2 linked regions of the Callithrix jacchus genome follow. The protein of the gene in region 1 binds, or shares a complex with, the protein of each later gene. Links are inferred from orthologs where the notes say so. Each region holds a gene or a part of one and is shown on either strand. Other genes may lie near its edges. The genes, in order: NELFCD and NELFB.

What was found.
Region 2: the proteins of NELFCD (region 1) and NELFB are in contact, whole or in part, in a crystal structure (PDB 8JJ6), measured with the Homo sapiens proteins. The link is inferred for Callithrix jacchus from reciprocal best matches to the Homo sapiens genes NELFCD and NELFB. Residues at the interface, in XP_047296144.1 of Homo sapiens: Arg63, Ile66, Met67, Glu68, Pro69, Ile71, Phe72, Leu75, Ile89, Gln90, Leu92, Ser93, Tyr96, Thr97, Ala98, Val99, Ala100, Gln101, Thr102, Val103, Asn104, Leu105, Leu106, Trp109, Leu110, Gln112, Thr113, Gly114, Val115, Gln121; in NP_056271.3 of Homo sapiens: Met49, Leu53, Leu56, Val58, Ala59, Asn60, Gly61, Leu64, Lys65, Leu68, Thr69, Leu75, Ile78, Glu79, Phe81, Gln82, Glu84, Asn85, Gly86, Val87, Leu88, Leu89, Ser91, Leu92, Ser94, Ala95, Leu96, Pro97, Phe98, Leu99.

Annotation. Positions count from the first base shown.
Region 1 is NC_133506.1:54,548,414-54,554,341, forward strand, and holds the start of NELFCD (negative elongation factor C/D), read left to right. Parts: upstream 1-2,278; 5' UTR 2,279-2,288; coding exon 2,289-2,375; intron 2,376-5,928. UniProt on the Homo sapiens protein: Essential component of the NELF complex, a complex that negatively regulates the elongation of transcription by RNA polymerase II.
Region 2 is NC_133502.1:185,660,697-185,666,624, forward strand, and holds the start of NELFB (negative elongation factor B), read left to right. Parts: upstream 1-2,303; 5' UTR 2,304-2,402; coding exon 2,403-3,254; intron 3,255-3,541; coding exon 3,542-3,705; intron 3,706-3,986; coding exon 3,987-4,086; intron 4,087-4,441; coding exon 4,442-4,672; intron 4,673-5,928. UniProt on the Homo sapiens protein: Essential component of the NELF complex, a complex that negatively regulates the elongation of transcription by RNA polymerase II.

The sequences.
Region 1 (5,928 bases):
ACTTTGAAAACTCAGATATGTCCTTTCACACGCTCAGAGCAAGGAAACAACAACAACAAAAAAAATCCAAACGTTTCCTCCTCCTCATAATTATGCATATTCGCTGAGCACCTACGATGTGCAAGCTCTCTGCTCAGCGCTTGGCATACCTTATTACATTCAATCCTTAAAGATGACCCTCAGTTAACACAGACCTAACTCCCTCCTGAGATCTGGCCCTGCCTGCCCTGCCTGCCCTGCCTGCCCTGCCTCATCTACATTTCTCCTTAGCCTGCCCAGTCCCAGTCTCAGTGGCCTCTCTGTTCCAAGAACACATGGCTGGCCTTTGCCCTGGCAGTTCTGCTCTCTGGAAATGCTCTTGCCTGGGTCTTAGCTTGCTTGGCCCTTTCATCACATGACTCTCAGTTCAAATGTAAGTTTCTCAGCGGCCATCTCTGATCTCCCCAAGAAGGTCTCTCCTATTATCACAGAATACTAGCACCGATCATCTCTGTCCTTATTTTATTTGTTTCCCCCTGGCCCCCCTTTCAGCTCCTTCAGTAGAAGGCAGGCTCTACCAGGGCAAGGATCATGTCCAATTTGTTCACCACTGAGCTCCAGGGAGCAGCACAGAGTCGAGCACTTAGGGGACACTCAATAAACATTTGTTGAATAAACATATTCCCTGATAAGCCCTCCATAAATGTTCACTATTATCAATATTCTGGAGCTCTTTAATACCCTTTCCTTACTGACATGGGCATTACCCTTCTTTTTTTTTTTGTTTATAGACAGGGTCTTACTTTGTCACACAGTCTGAAATGGCATGACCATTGCTTACTGCAACCTCAAGCTCTTGGGCTGAAACAATCCTCCTGCCTCAGCCTCCTGAGCTGCTAGGACTGCAGGCATGCATCACCATACCTGGCCGAGGGGATGGGGATGTCTCTGTATGTTGCCCAGGTTGGTCTCAAGCTCTTGCCTCAGGCAATCCTCCCACCTCAGCCTCCCAGAATGCTGGGATTATAGGTGTGAGCCACGGCGGTCAGCCATGGAAATTTCCTTTTAAAGTATCCAGATCTGATGGCGTTAAAATTTCACCCTGCTTAAAATTTTCCACGATTTGGACACAAAGATGGGAACAACAGACCCAGGGGATTCCAAAAGGCAGAAGGTGTGGGAGATGGGGTGGGGTGGGGGGGGGGTGAGGGGGTGCGGGTAAAGGTTGAAAAGCTGCCTATCTGGTACCATGTTCACTACTTTGGTGAAGGGATTATTAGAAGCATCACACAATATACCAATGTAACAAACCTGCACATGTACCAAATTTAAAATTAAAAAAGCACACACACACTCAACAGCCAACAAAAGCCTTTCCGTGATTATCAAGAGGCTGTCATGTTCTTACTCCCTACTTCACATTAGAAGTGTGCTGCGGGCTTCACAACAGCATCACCTGCGCCCTTTGGCAGCTACCAGGGAGGTCCTTTCTCCAGAGATTTTTGTGGGCTCTGGACACTTTTGCTTTGCGGGCCTTTCCTCCATTTAAAAAAAAAAAATTAAAAACGTTACTTTCCACTGCATTTAGTACTTTTTCTTTTCTTTTCTCTCTTTTTTTTTGAGACACAGTTTCACTCTGTTGCCCAGGCTGGAGTACAGTGGTGTGATCTTGGTTCACTGCAACCTCCGCCTCTAGGGTTCAAGCGATTCTCCTGCCTCAGTCTCCCTAGTAGTTGGGATTACAGACGCCCGTCACCACGCCTGGCTAATTTTTGTATTTTGAGTAGAGATGGGGTTTCAGCATGTTGGCCAGGCTGGTCTCGAACTCCTGATCTCAAGTGATCCGCCCTCCGAGGCCTCCCAAAGGGCTGGGATTACAGGCGTGAGCCCCCACGCCCTGCCGCGTTTAGTACTTTTTACCAAAAATAAAAGAAATTAAAACACTTTCGTGGGTTCTAGACACTCCCCAAAGAATTTGTTCCCAGCTGTCCGATGAAGAAACTGGCGCTCGCAGGGCTGGTGCAACAGGAGTGAGACCGTGCACGAGTCCAGTTGGAAACCTCTCTGCATAAGCCCCTGGCCCACCCTAGCAGCGCTCAGAAACCGATTGGGGGGCGTTCCTTTCGCCCGGTCCTCTTTGTTCCTAGCGGGAAGCCCGCGGCTCTGCTCCCCCTCCAGGCCCCACCCCTTCCTCCAAGCCCCGCCTCCCGCCCGGGCCGAGCGCGCGGGGGGCGGGGCCGCGGGGCCGCGCGTGCGTCCGCTCGCCCGTTTTCGCCTCGCGCATGCGCCACGCTAGCTCGCGGTAGAGCATGGCGGTGTCCGCGCCGGGAGCCATCATGGATGAGGACTACTTCGGGAGCGCGGCCGAGTCGGGCGACGAGGCTGACGGCGGCCAGGTAAGGCGGGGCATCGGGCGCTCCCCGGCGAGGATCGTTCGTCTCCGCCGCCGGCGGGCCGGCTCCGCTCCCGGCAAGCCCGCGCGGCGCGAGGCCGCGGGCGTGCGGGGTGTGTGCGCGCGCACGGCCTGCGCGGTCTCCGTGTGGTTCTACACAGCCCGCCCCGCCCCCCCAGCCCGGGGTCCCTGCGTCTTCGCCTGCAGGACCGTGGGGCGGGGACGAGGCGGCGGTGGCTCTGGAGCGGGACAGCCCGAAGCCCCCAGTGACCCCTCGTTCCGGCCAGCCTCGGCGCCGGCCCTGCGACCCCCACGGCGGGTGGGACACCAATACTAAGGTGGAGGGTTGGGCTCGAAGCCCAGACAGTTTTAAACAAAAATAAAATGGAAAACTTCACACCAGCATCGTGGGGAAAAAGTAAAACTTTGGGCATTCCTACTGTGTTTCACTGTTTTATAAACTGTACTCTTCAGCACCCCTGGCCGATTTCATCTGTCTTTGGACAAAATAATGAAAAGGATCTTCTGGCCTTGACCTTCCAGGGTTTGGAGTGGAAGCCCAGGAGGGGTCACTCTATTCTCCCCTGAGGACAGGGCCTGCAGAGCCAGGGAAGGCAGTTCTAGTCAGGCTGGTTTGTCACCACCTTTTTCTAACCTTTTTTTTTTTTGTTAATGAGAGCTTCTTATGTTGCTCAGGTTGGCCTTGAACTCAGCCTCGCTTCCTCAAGCGCCAGGACAACTGGCCGGAGCCTTTTTCTAATCTTAAAACCCACCTGCTGCGCATGATTGAAATGTGCAGCTTCTCAGGTCCCTACAGTTGATCTGCACGAGAGCCTAGGAACTTGCATTTTTTTTTGAGGCAGAGTTTCACTCTTGTTGCCCAGGCTGGAGTGTAATGGTGCAATTTCGGCTCACTGCAACTTTTGCCTCCCTGGTTCCAGTGATTCTCCTCCCTCAGCCTCCCGAGTAGCTGGGATTACAGGCGCCTGCTACCACACTCATTTTTTAAAATTTTGAGTGGAGAGGGGGTTTCACCATGTTGGCCAGGCTGGCCTCAAGCTCTGGATCTCAGGTGATCCATCCACCTCGGCCTTCCAAAGTTCTGGGATTATAGGTGTGACCCATGCGCCTGGCCCAGGAACTTGCATTTTTAACAAGAATCAACAATGGGGATATTTGGTCCATTTTGAACTGGTATTTTGAGGGAATGAAGGATGCAGTGGGCTTACTTCAATGAACATGGATGGTGGTGTGATGACGGCTTCGGAGCTGTGGTAGCAAATAACAGGACAGGCGATGTGTTTCTGGAACTGAAAGAAGGCCTGTGAGGTTAGCTGCCTGGTGGAAGCAGTGGCAGGAGGTCAGTAGGGAGCAGGTCTGAAGATCCTTGGAGAGCCGCTGAATGGCTTGTTCAGGAGTTTGGGGCAGGAGGTGATATGAGTAGATTTGCATGTTGGATCATTTCACAGCGTTGGAGGCTTAGGGTAGAGTGGATAGAGAGTCAGATGTGGCTGAGAGCCTGGGCCATGTGCTTCATGCATTATCACCTTCCACACTCAAGATTTTGAGTTGGGTGTTACTCTATCTGGTAAGTGAAGAAAGTGAGGTGGAAAGACTTAATGACCTTCCCAAAGTCATGAAACTAATAAAGGAAGGAGAGGGGACCCAAACCCATGTCATTTGCCTCTATTGCAGCTTCATCAAATTGCTGACCACCAAAGTGGTCCAGATGAGAGGGTATGAATTATCTTAGTGGTGGGTTGGTGTTTGGGGCATCTCGTATATCACCTTGAGACTTTTTTCTTTCTTTCTTTTTTTTTTGGGGGTGGGGGGGAGTCTCACTGGGCTGCCCAGACTGGAGTGCAGTGGTACGATCACGGCTCATGTAACCACTGTCTACCAGGTTCAAGTGATTCTGTGGTCTCAGCCTCCCTAGAAGCTGGGAGTACAGGCACCTGCCATCATGCCCAACTAATTTCTGTATTTTAGTAGGGATGGGGTTTCACTTTCACCATGTTGGCCAGGCTGATCTTGATCTCCTGACCTCAGGTGATCTGCCTGCCTCGGCCTCCTAAAGTGCTAGGATTACAGGCGTGAGCCACCACGCCGAGACTTTTTCTCTCTCTCTCTTTTTTTTTTCAGACAGAGTCTCACTCTGTTGCCCAGGCTGGATTGCAGTGGTGTCATCTTGGCTTACTGAAACCTCTGCCTCCCGGGTTCAAGTGATTTTCCAAGTAGCTGGGATTACAGGCTAATTTTTGTATTTTTAGTAGAGATGGGCTTTCATCATGTTGGCCAGGCTGGTCTCAAACTCCTGGCCTCAAGTAGTTTGCCCGCCTCAGCCTCCGGAAGTGCTGGGATTATAGGCTTGAGCCACCACCCCTGGCCTCACCTTGAGCCGCTGAGTCAAAAAGTGTTAGAACTGGGGAATGTAAGGGCCATCTAATCTGCCTTCACTTCCAACTCTAGACCCTGCTGTTGGAAGATTGGGGAATTTTTTTTTGAGACGGAGTCTTGCTCTTGCCCAGGCTAGAGTACAATGGTGTACTCTTGGCTCACTGCAACTCTTATCTCTCAGGTTCCAGCGATTCTCCTGCCTCAGCCTCCCTAGTAGCTGGGACTATAGGCTCGCTAATTGCCTGGCTAATTGTTGTAGTTTTTAGTAGAGATGGGGTTTCACCATATTGGCCAGACTGGTCTTGAACTTCTGACCTCATGATCCGCCTGCCTCAGCCTCCCAAAGTGCTGGGATTACAGATATGAGCCACCATGCCCGGCCTCATGTTTGGGGAATTTTGATCATGATCCTAATGTATCCCATTGACACCAGTGGGCTCTCATTGATGAGGAGGGTGGACCAGATGTTCATTTCATTTTTATTCTGTGATCCCACTTGGACGAGGGACAGAAAGTTAGGAAAAGTGTTAGGAGGGTGGCAAGAACTGGATTTTAAAAGACAGTTGGTGACTCACATTCCGTTCACTTGATGCCATGTTCCATATATGGTGGAAGGCGGGAAGATGTGTAAGGAGGCCACTGTGATGTTCAGTCAGGATGATGGAAACTAAGAGCTACAGAAATGCAAATAGATTAGTCTGGCTGCAAATTGTAAATGGGGAGTGTCGAGGGGTCAGAACAGACAGAGGAGCAGGTGGGAGGGGCACTGTCGTGTTAGAGCTTGGGTGTTTTTCCTGAAGGAGATGGGAATTTTTAAGGAGGAGAGTGATGTCAATTTTGTGGCTTACAGAGATCACTGTGGCTTCAGTGTGAAAGATGACTGAAAGGAAGGAATGAGACTGAGACTTTAGGGGAATGTTGCCACTGCAAGCATGCAAAAAGTAAGGAAGAGGAGAGGCGAATGTGGAAAGAACCGCCACCTTGGGTAGACAGTTAGGAGATGGAATTGACAGGTCTTTGTGACAGGATGTGGGGGTGGGGCGAGGGAGAGAAGCTGAGGATGATTTTCAGGCTTGGGGGTAACGGGTAAATAGATAATGGAATCCTTTACTAAAATATAGGTTGTAGGAAGAAGATCTGTTTCCAGGGAAAAGATGTCA
Region 2 (5,928 bases), on another chromosome or scaffold:
CGCACCCAGACCCTGAGGGAGCTGCGTGAGTGAGGGTCCTGGCTGCCCCACCCCCACCCCAGGCTGGCCTTTGGGGGGCTGTGGGAGGGGCCTGCTGGAACCATCCCAGGCCCAGAGCTTGCTTCCCGCGGCCAGTGCTGGAGCAACGTCCCCCGATCACAGCTGACCTGGACGTCCCCAGCCCCGCCAAGTACCAGCTGCCAAGCCCGTCTGTGCGAGAGTCCTCCCCACACCCCCACTACAGCATTGGCCGCAAACACCAGGGCCAAGGTGTGTGTTCCCTCCCTGGGGCCCGACCACCAGGCCTGTCCCCACCCTGGGAATGGGGGCCTCAGCCTCTGCACTGGTACCCCCACAGCCTGAGGCCTTTCCACCCCACTATAGAGGGCGGTGGGTGCAGGGTATGGCAGACAGTGTGGTTCCAGAGTGAAAGCCCCTTCACACAGAAGGCCAACTTCAACCAAAAGCAAAAGGTGGGGGCTGGGCAGGAAGGGGGCAGGGAGTCCAGGCAGGCGGGGGCTGGGGCTTCCATCGGGACCAAAGCAGGGCTGACTGAGGGTCCTGGGAGCTCCCTGCCCTGCAGCAACGGTCTCCTGCTGCTTCGCAGTGGCCCTCACCAGCCAACTACCAGCCGCTCGGCCCGCCTTCAGCTTCAGGGGCCACCACCCTGCCACCAAGACACCTGAGGGCCACACCCACCCCAGGCTGCCTCGGGCCAGGGGGTTTGGTCTCCAGGAGCAGCCCCAGTGCCTGCTCCAGGCCTCTTTGCAGGCACCTGGCAAGAGGCACCCTGGCCCCAACACCTACAACATTCTTCCTGGGAGCTGCCTGCAGAGCCCACGCCCGCCAGCCTTCTCCATGGGCCACTCCCCGGTGTTCCCCACCTGGCTCAGTGGCTGTAAGGCCTGGAGAGGGGAGGGCAAGGGCTGGGCCATGGGTGAGTGTGGTGGGGCCGGGAGCCAGGTGTGAGTGGGGGCTCTGAGCCAGCTGGGTGGGGCTCGCTCTCTCTCTCTCTCTCTCCAGCCCAAACCCCCGGCCTGGCTGCCTACCACGTGGAGGACTGCTACAACTCTCGCTTCCCCTCGGCACCTGGCGTGTGCAGACCCAAGAGACACGACGCTGGCCCCTTCTGCACACTCTAGAGCCCACTGGGCAAAGCCAGCTTGGCCCGGCCAACGAGTGGAACCTTGGCCTCTCCTGGGGTTTTCCCAGGCCTCCCTTGGGACTCGGCGCCCCAGCCTGGCCCCTGACCCTCTGGGCACCCCTGGTGCACCCTCCTGGCTGGACAACCCTTCTATGGACTGTGGACAAAGCCAGTCCAGCCTGGAGCCCCCATCTGCCCACACCCTGCTATACAGAGATGCTGTGGGTTCTCCCATGCTCCGAAGTGTGCAGCTGTCTGTCCTTCACCCGGGGCGGTCCTGGAGATATGGCTGCCACTGGGTCATTTCTGGCTTTCCCTGTTGAGGAGTCTCCATTTGGCTGCCCTGAAGGGTGTTCTTTTCTCTATATGGCAGCGTGCCACTGACTGAGCTCTAGCCTGGAGTGAGATGGGAGGCTCTGTGGGACACCCCTACCCAGCCGTGCCATTCAGGGGCCCAGTCCAGCTGCTGTCCACCTGAGGGTCAGCCGCTTGCTGAGCCAGGGAACTGACTTGGTTTTTAAGGAAGCAACAAATGCCCTGAGCCACCAGTAGACGGGGTCGCCTGACCAGCCCTCAGGAGGGGCCCAGGGACCTGCTCACTAGGGCCCAGCGCCACTTCATCTAGGCCTTCAGCTGGGGTGAGTCACCTGTGGAAACTGGCCCAGGACCCTGTAGGCTGAGCCACAGCCCCAGACTCTGGGCCCCTGCTGAGGGCTGGTCCTGTAGCTTTGCCGGGCTTGCCCTCGTACCTTGCAGGAGGCTTACCTGCAGCTCGTGTCGCCCCTGTGACTGTGACTGCACCTGTACCTCCCGGACCCCGGGCCCAGACCAAGTCCAGAGCTCAACCCCTTCAAAAAGGCTCTGGGCAGCTGCTCCTGTGGCGTCAGCTCCATCCCCTTTCGCACAGAGGACTCCAAGCCTAGGACTGTGTATGTGCTGTGCCCCTTGTCCCCCTCTGCCACCAAACCAGCTAGGGGTCTATTCCAGTGGCAATAGAGCTGTGGTTGCCTGGCCGTAGCAACAGGAGCTCTGCTTACGGCTGGGGCGACCCGGGCACCACCTGGCACCTCTGAGACCCAAAGCTGGAAGCGGGAGCAGCAGGAAGGATGGAGCGATCTCCTCCAGCTGGGCGAAGGAGGGAGGGCTTCCTGGAGGAGGTGGTGGAAGAGGGAGCCTTCAAGGAAGAGCAAGAGTTTGCTGGGCAGCATGAAAGAAATTTGTAGAGAAAAATTTCAGCAGCACAGATAGAAAAGAGAGAATGTGTCGGGCTTGGCGCGGCAGAGCGTGCGGGAGGGCGACGGGGAGGCCCGGGGAGCCCGCCTGGGACGAGAAGAGGCGCTGCGGGACCTGGACTCTCCCTCACGGCTCCGCGGGGCTGGCGGGTGCCAGCGCCTCCGTGGCCGGGGAGGGCGGCCGTCGTTCGCGCGCCTGGTCTCCGCCAGGCCCCCGCCTGAAGGCGCTGAGACCCAGCCTTCGCCGCAGCGCTGGGGTGGGGGCTTCGTGCCGGTTTTACGCCGAGGAGGCCGCACCCGAGTCACACACCAGCGCGGCGCAGAGGCTGGGGGCGCAACCCCGGGCAACATGTCCCGCGTCGCGAGGCTGCTGCGAGATCCGCAAGACCGTTTTACACGCTTATGCGCACGAAATCCACTCGGCTGAAATGGCGCCCCTTTCCCACCCACCCACGCTCGCCCGCGGGACCGGAGGGCGCACGCGCGCGGGGCTGGCTAGGTGGAGCCTGTTGCGCGAGGGGCGGGCGCTGCTCCCAGGAACCTGCGCGCGGCAGCGGCGGTGTTTCCCGGGGGCCGGTTGGCTGGCGGACCCGGGCGGTGCGGTGTGCGCGGAGCCGCGAAGCGGGCGGGACTTGGCCGAGCTGGAGGGCGCGGGGGAGCGGGGCTCGGGGGGCCCCCGAGGCCCGGCGGAGCGGGCTTCTGGGGCGCCTGCGGCGGCGCCGGGGGAGCGGGCTGGGGATGGGGCGCCGAGCCGGGCGGCGGCCGGGGCCTCGGCCATGTTCGCGGGGCTGCAGGACCTGGGCGTGGCCAACGGCGAGGACCTGAAGGAGACCCTGACCAACTGCACGGAGCCGCTCAAGGCCATCGAGCAGTTCCAGGTGGGGCGGGCCTCGAGGCGGGGGCAGCCCGGGTCGACCGCCAGGCCGCCTGCGCGGGAGTCGAGCCTGGCGGAGGCGCCGGAAGTTCCCGGCTTTCTTCGAGTGGCTGAGTCCCGTTCTGGGGGTGGAGTCCCGAGCTGGCGTCGGTTTGCTGGACGGCTGGGTGGCTTCTGGTGGCTGCCGCTGCCCCTGCACGGCCGGGAACCCTGGGGTTCGTGCCTCCCTGTGCTTGCAGGACATCGGGTGCCCGGGCGCAGTGGGCGGCAGCTGACCTTTTGCTTCCTCAGACAGAGAACGGCGTGCTGCTGCCCTCTCTCCAGTCGGCCCTCCCCTTCTTGGACCTACACGGGACGCCGCGGCTGGAGTTCCACCAGTCGGTGTTCGATGAGCTGCGAGACAAGCTGCTGGAGCGGGTGTCGGCCATCGCTTCGGAGGGGAAGGCTGAGGAAAGGTGGGTGGGCGGGTCCGATATGTGCCCGGCGGGCATTGATCGTCCTCCTGGCTGCACAGCCTTGTCGGCCTCTCAGCCTAAGATCGACTTGGACATTGATCATCCTCCTGGCTGCACAGCCTTGCTCCCAGAGGTGGCCTGGGCCTGTGTCTGAACGGCCTCTTGCCTCTCGTGTTCTGCGTGTGGAGACTTGGCCTGGCAGCCGTTATCTGACTGGGACATGCAGACAGCTGCTCTGATTCGGCCCATTGCCACGCCATCAATCGTGTGAGTTGTTCCAGGTACAAGAAGCTGGAAGACCTTCTGGAGAAGAGCTTTTCTCTGGTCAAGATGCCGTCCCTGCAGCCTGTGGTGATGTGTGTCATGAAGCACCTGCCCAAGGTAGAACCCTAACCCTGACCCTGACCCTAAAACCTTGCTGGCTCGGGCGTCCACCCACCCTCATGCTCTTGGTTGATGGAAGTTCCAGTGAGCCGCCTGCCTGAGTGCTGTCCGTGGTGGCTCCTGTGCTGGCCTCTCCCGCGTGAGCCGCGTGGAGACTGAAGCTTGGCACTGGAGTTGGGGCGTGGGGCCCCTTCTGGGAAAGACCTGTTGGTATTTAGCACGTCTGCCTGAACCTGCTGGGACTGGGGGCCCAGTCATAGGTGCCCTGTAGAGTGGGGCGTGGCTTGAAGTGGACTCGAGGGAGACCCAGGGACATAGGTGCCGCTCACAGGCAGCCTGTGGTGCCGCGTAGGTTCCTGAGAAAAAGCTGAAGCTCGTAATGGCTGACAAGGAGCTGTATCGAGCCTGCGCCGTGGAGGTGAAGAGGCAGATCTGGCAAGACAATCAGGCCCTCTTTGGGGACGAGGTCTCCCCGCTGCTGAAGCAGTACATCTTGGAGAAGGAGAGCGCGCTCTTCAGCACAGAGCTCTCCGTCCTGCACAACTTCTTCAGTCCTTCCCCCAAGACCAGGCGCCAGGGTGAGGTGAGAGGGGAGAGGCCGCGTGCAGGGTGGGGCACCTCTTGGGCGTGCCATGGCCAGGCCCTTCAGCTACCTGGGGATCGACTGTTTGCTGCCTTGTGAATGGCAGGGTGGTTCTACTCTTGCGGGTGGCAGGCCTGGGACTTGTGCTAGAAGGAAGGTTGGTTTTCTCTTTGTATGTATTTTACTTTCGATTAAAACCATATGTGCACAACATTAAAATCTGCGGAAAGGCCCCTAACGAGAAGTTACAGCTCCCTCTCCTACTTCTAAAAAGCTGCTTCTGTTTGGTTCTTCACCTTTCAAATATTTCAGTTATTTGCTTTTCGTTCTTCAGAGGACAGCAAATCCAAGGTTCTGCCTGTTAATAATGTTGGCATTATTCTAAACTCAAATTTTCCCTCAGTTTTGTTTTGTTTCTTGAGATGGAGTTTCGCTCTTGTCACCCAGGCTGAAGTGCAGTGGTGCGATCTTGGCTCACTGCAGCCTCTGCCTCCCAGGTTCAAGGTATTATTCTGCCTCAGCCACCCCAGTAGCTGGGATTATAGGTGTGTGCCATCATGCCAGCCAATTTTTATGTCTTTAGTGTTACATTGGTCAGGCTGGGCTCAAACTCCTGAGCTCAAATGATCTATCTGCCTGCCTCATCCCCCCAAAGTGCGGGGATTACAGGCATAAGCCACTGTGCAGGACTTTTTTTTTTTTTTCTATTTTTGTTAAGAGACAGGGTCTCACTCTGTTGCCCAGGCTGGAGTCCAGTGGCGTCATCACAGCCCACTGCAGGCTTGACCTCCTGAGCTAAAGCCAGCTTCCCCCCTCAGGCTTCTGAGTAGCTAGGACCACAGGCATGCGCTGCCATATTTGGACTAATGAAATATTTATTTTTGTAGAGTTGGGGGTCTGACTGTGTTGCATAGTCTGGTCTTGAACTCCTGGGCTGAAGCAGTCCTCTGTCAGTATCCTAAAGTGTGGGGATTACAGACATGAGGCACCACGCCCAGCCGAGATTTCTTTTTCTTTTTTTTTTTTTTTTTTTTTTGAGATGGAGTTTAGCTCTTGTTACCCAGGCTGGAGTGCAATGGCACGATCTCGGCTCACCACAACCTCCACCTCCTGGGTTCAAGCAATTCTCCTGCCTCAGCCTCCCGAGTAGTTGGGACTACGGGCACACGCCACCATGCCCAGCTAATTTTTTATATATTTTTTTAGTAGAGACGGGGTTTCACCTTGTTGACCAGGATGGTCTTGATCTTTTGACC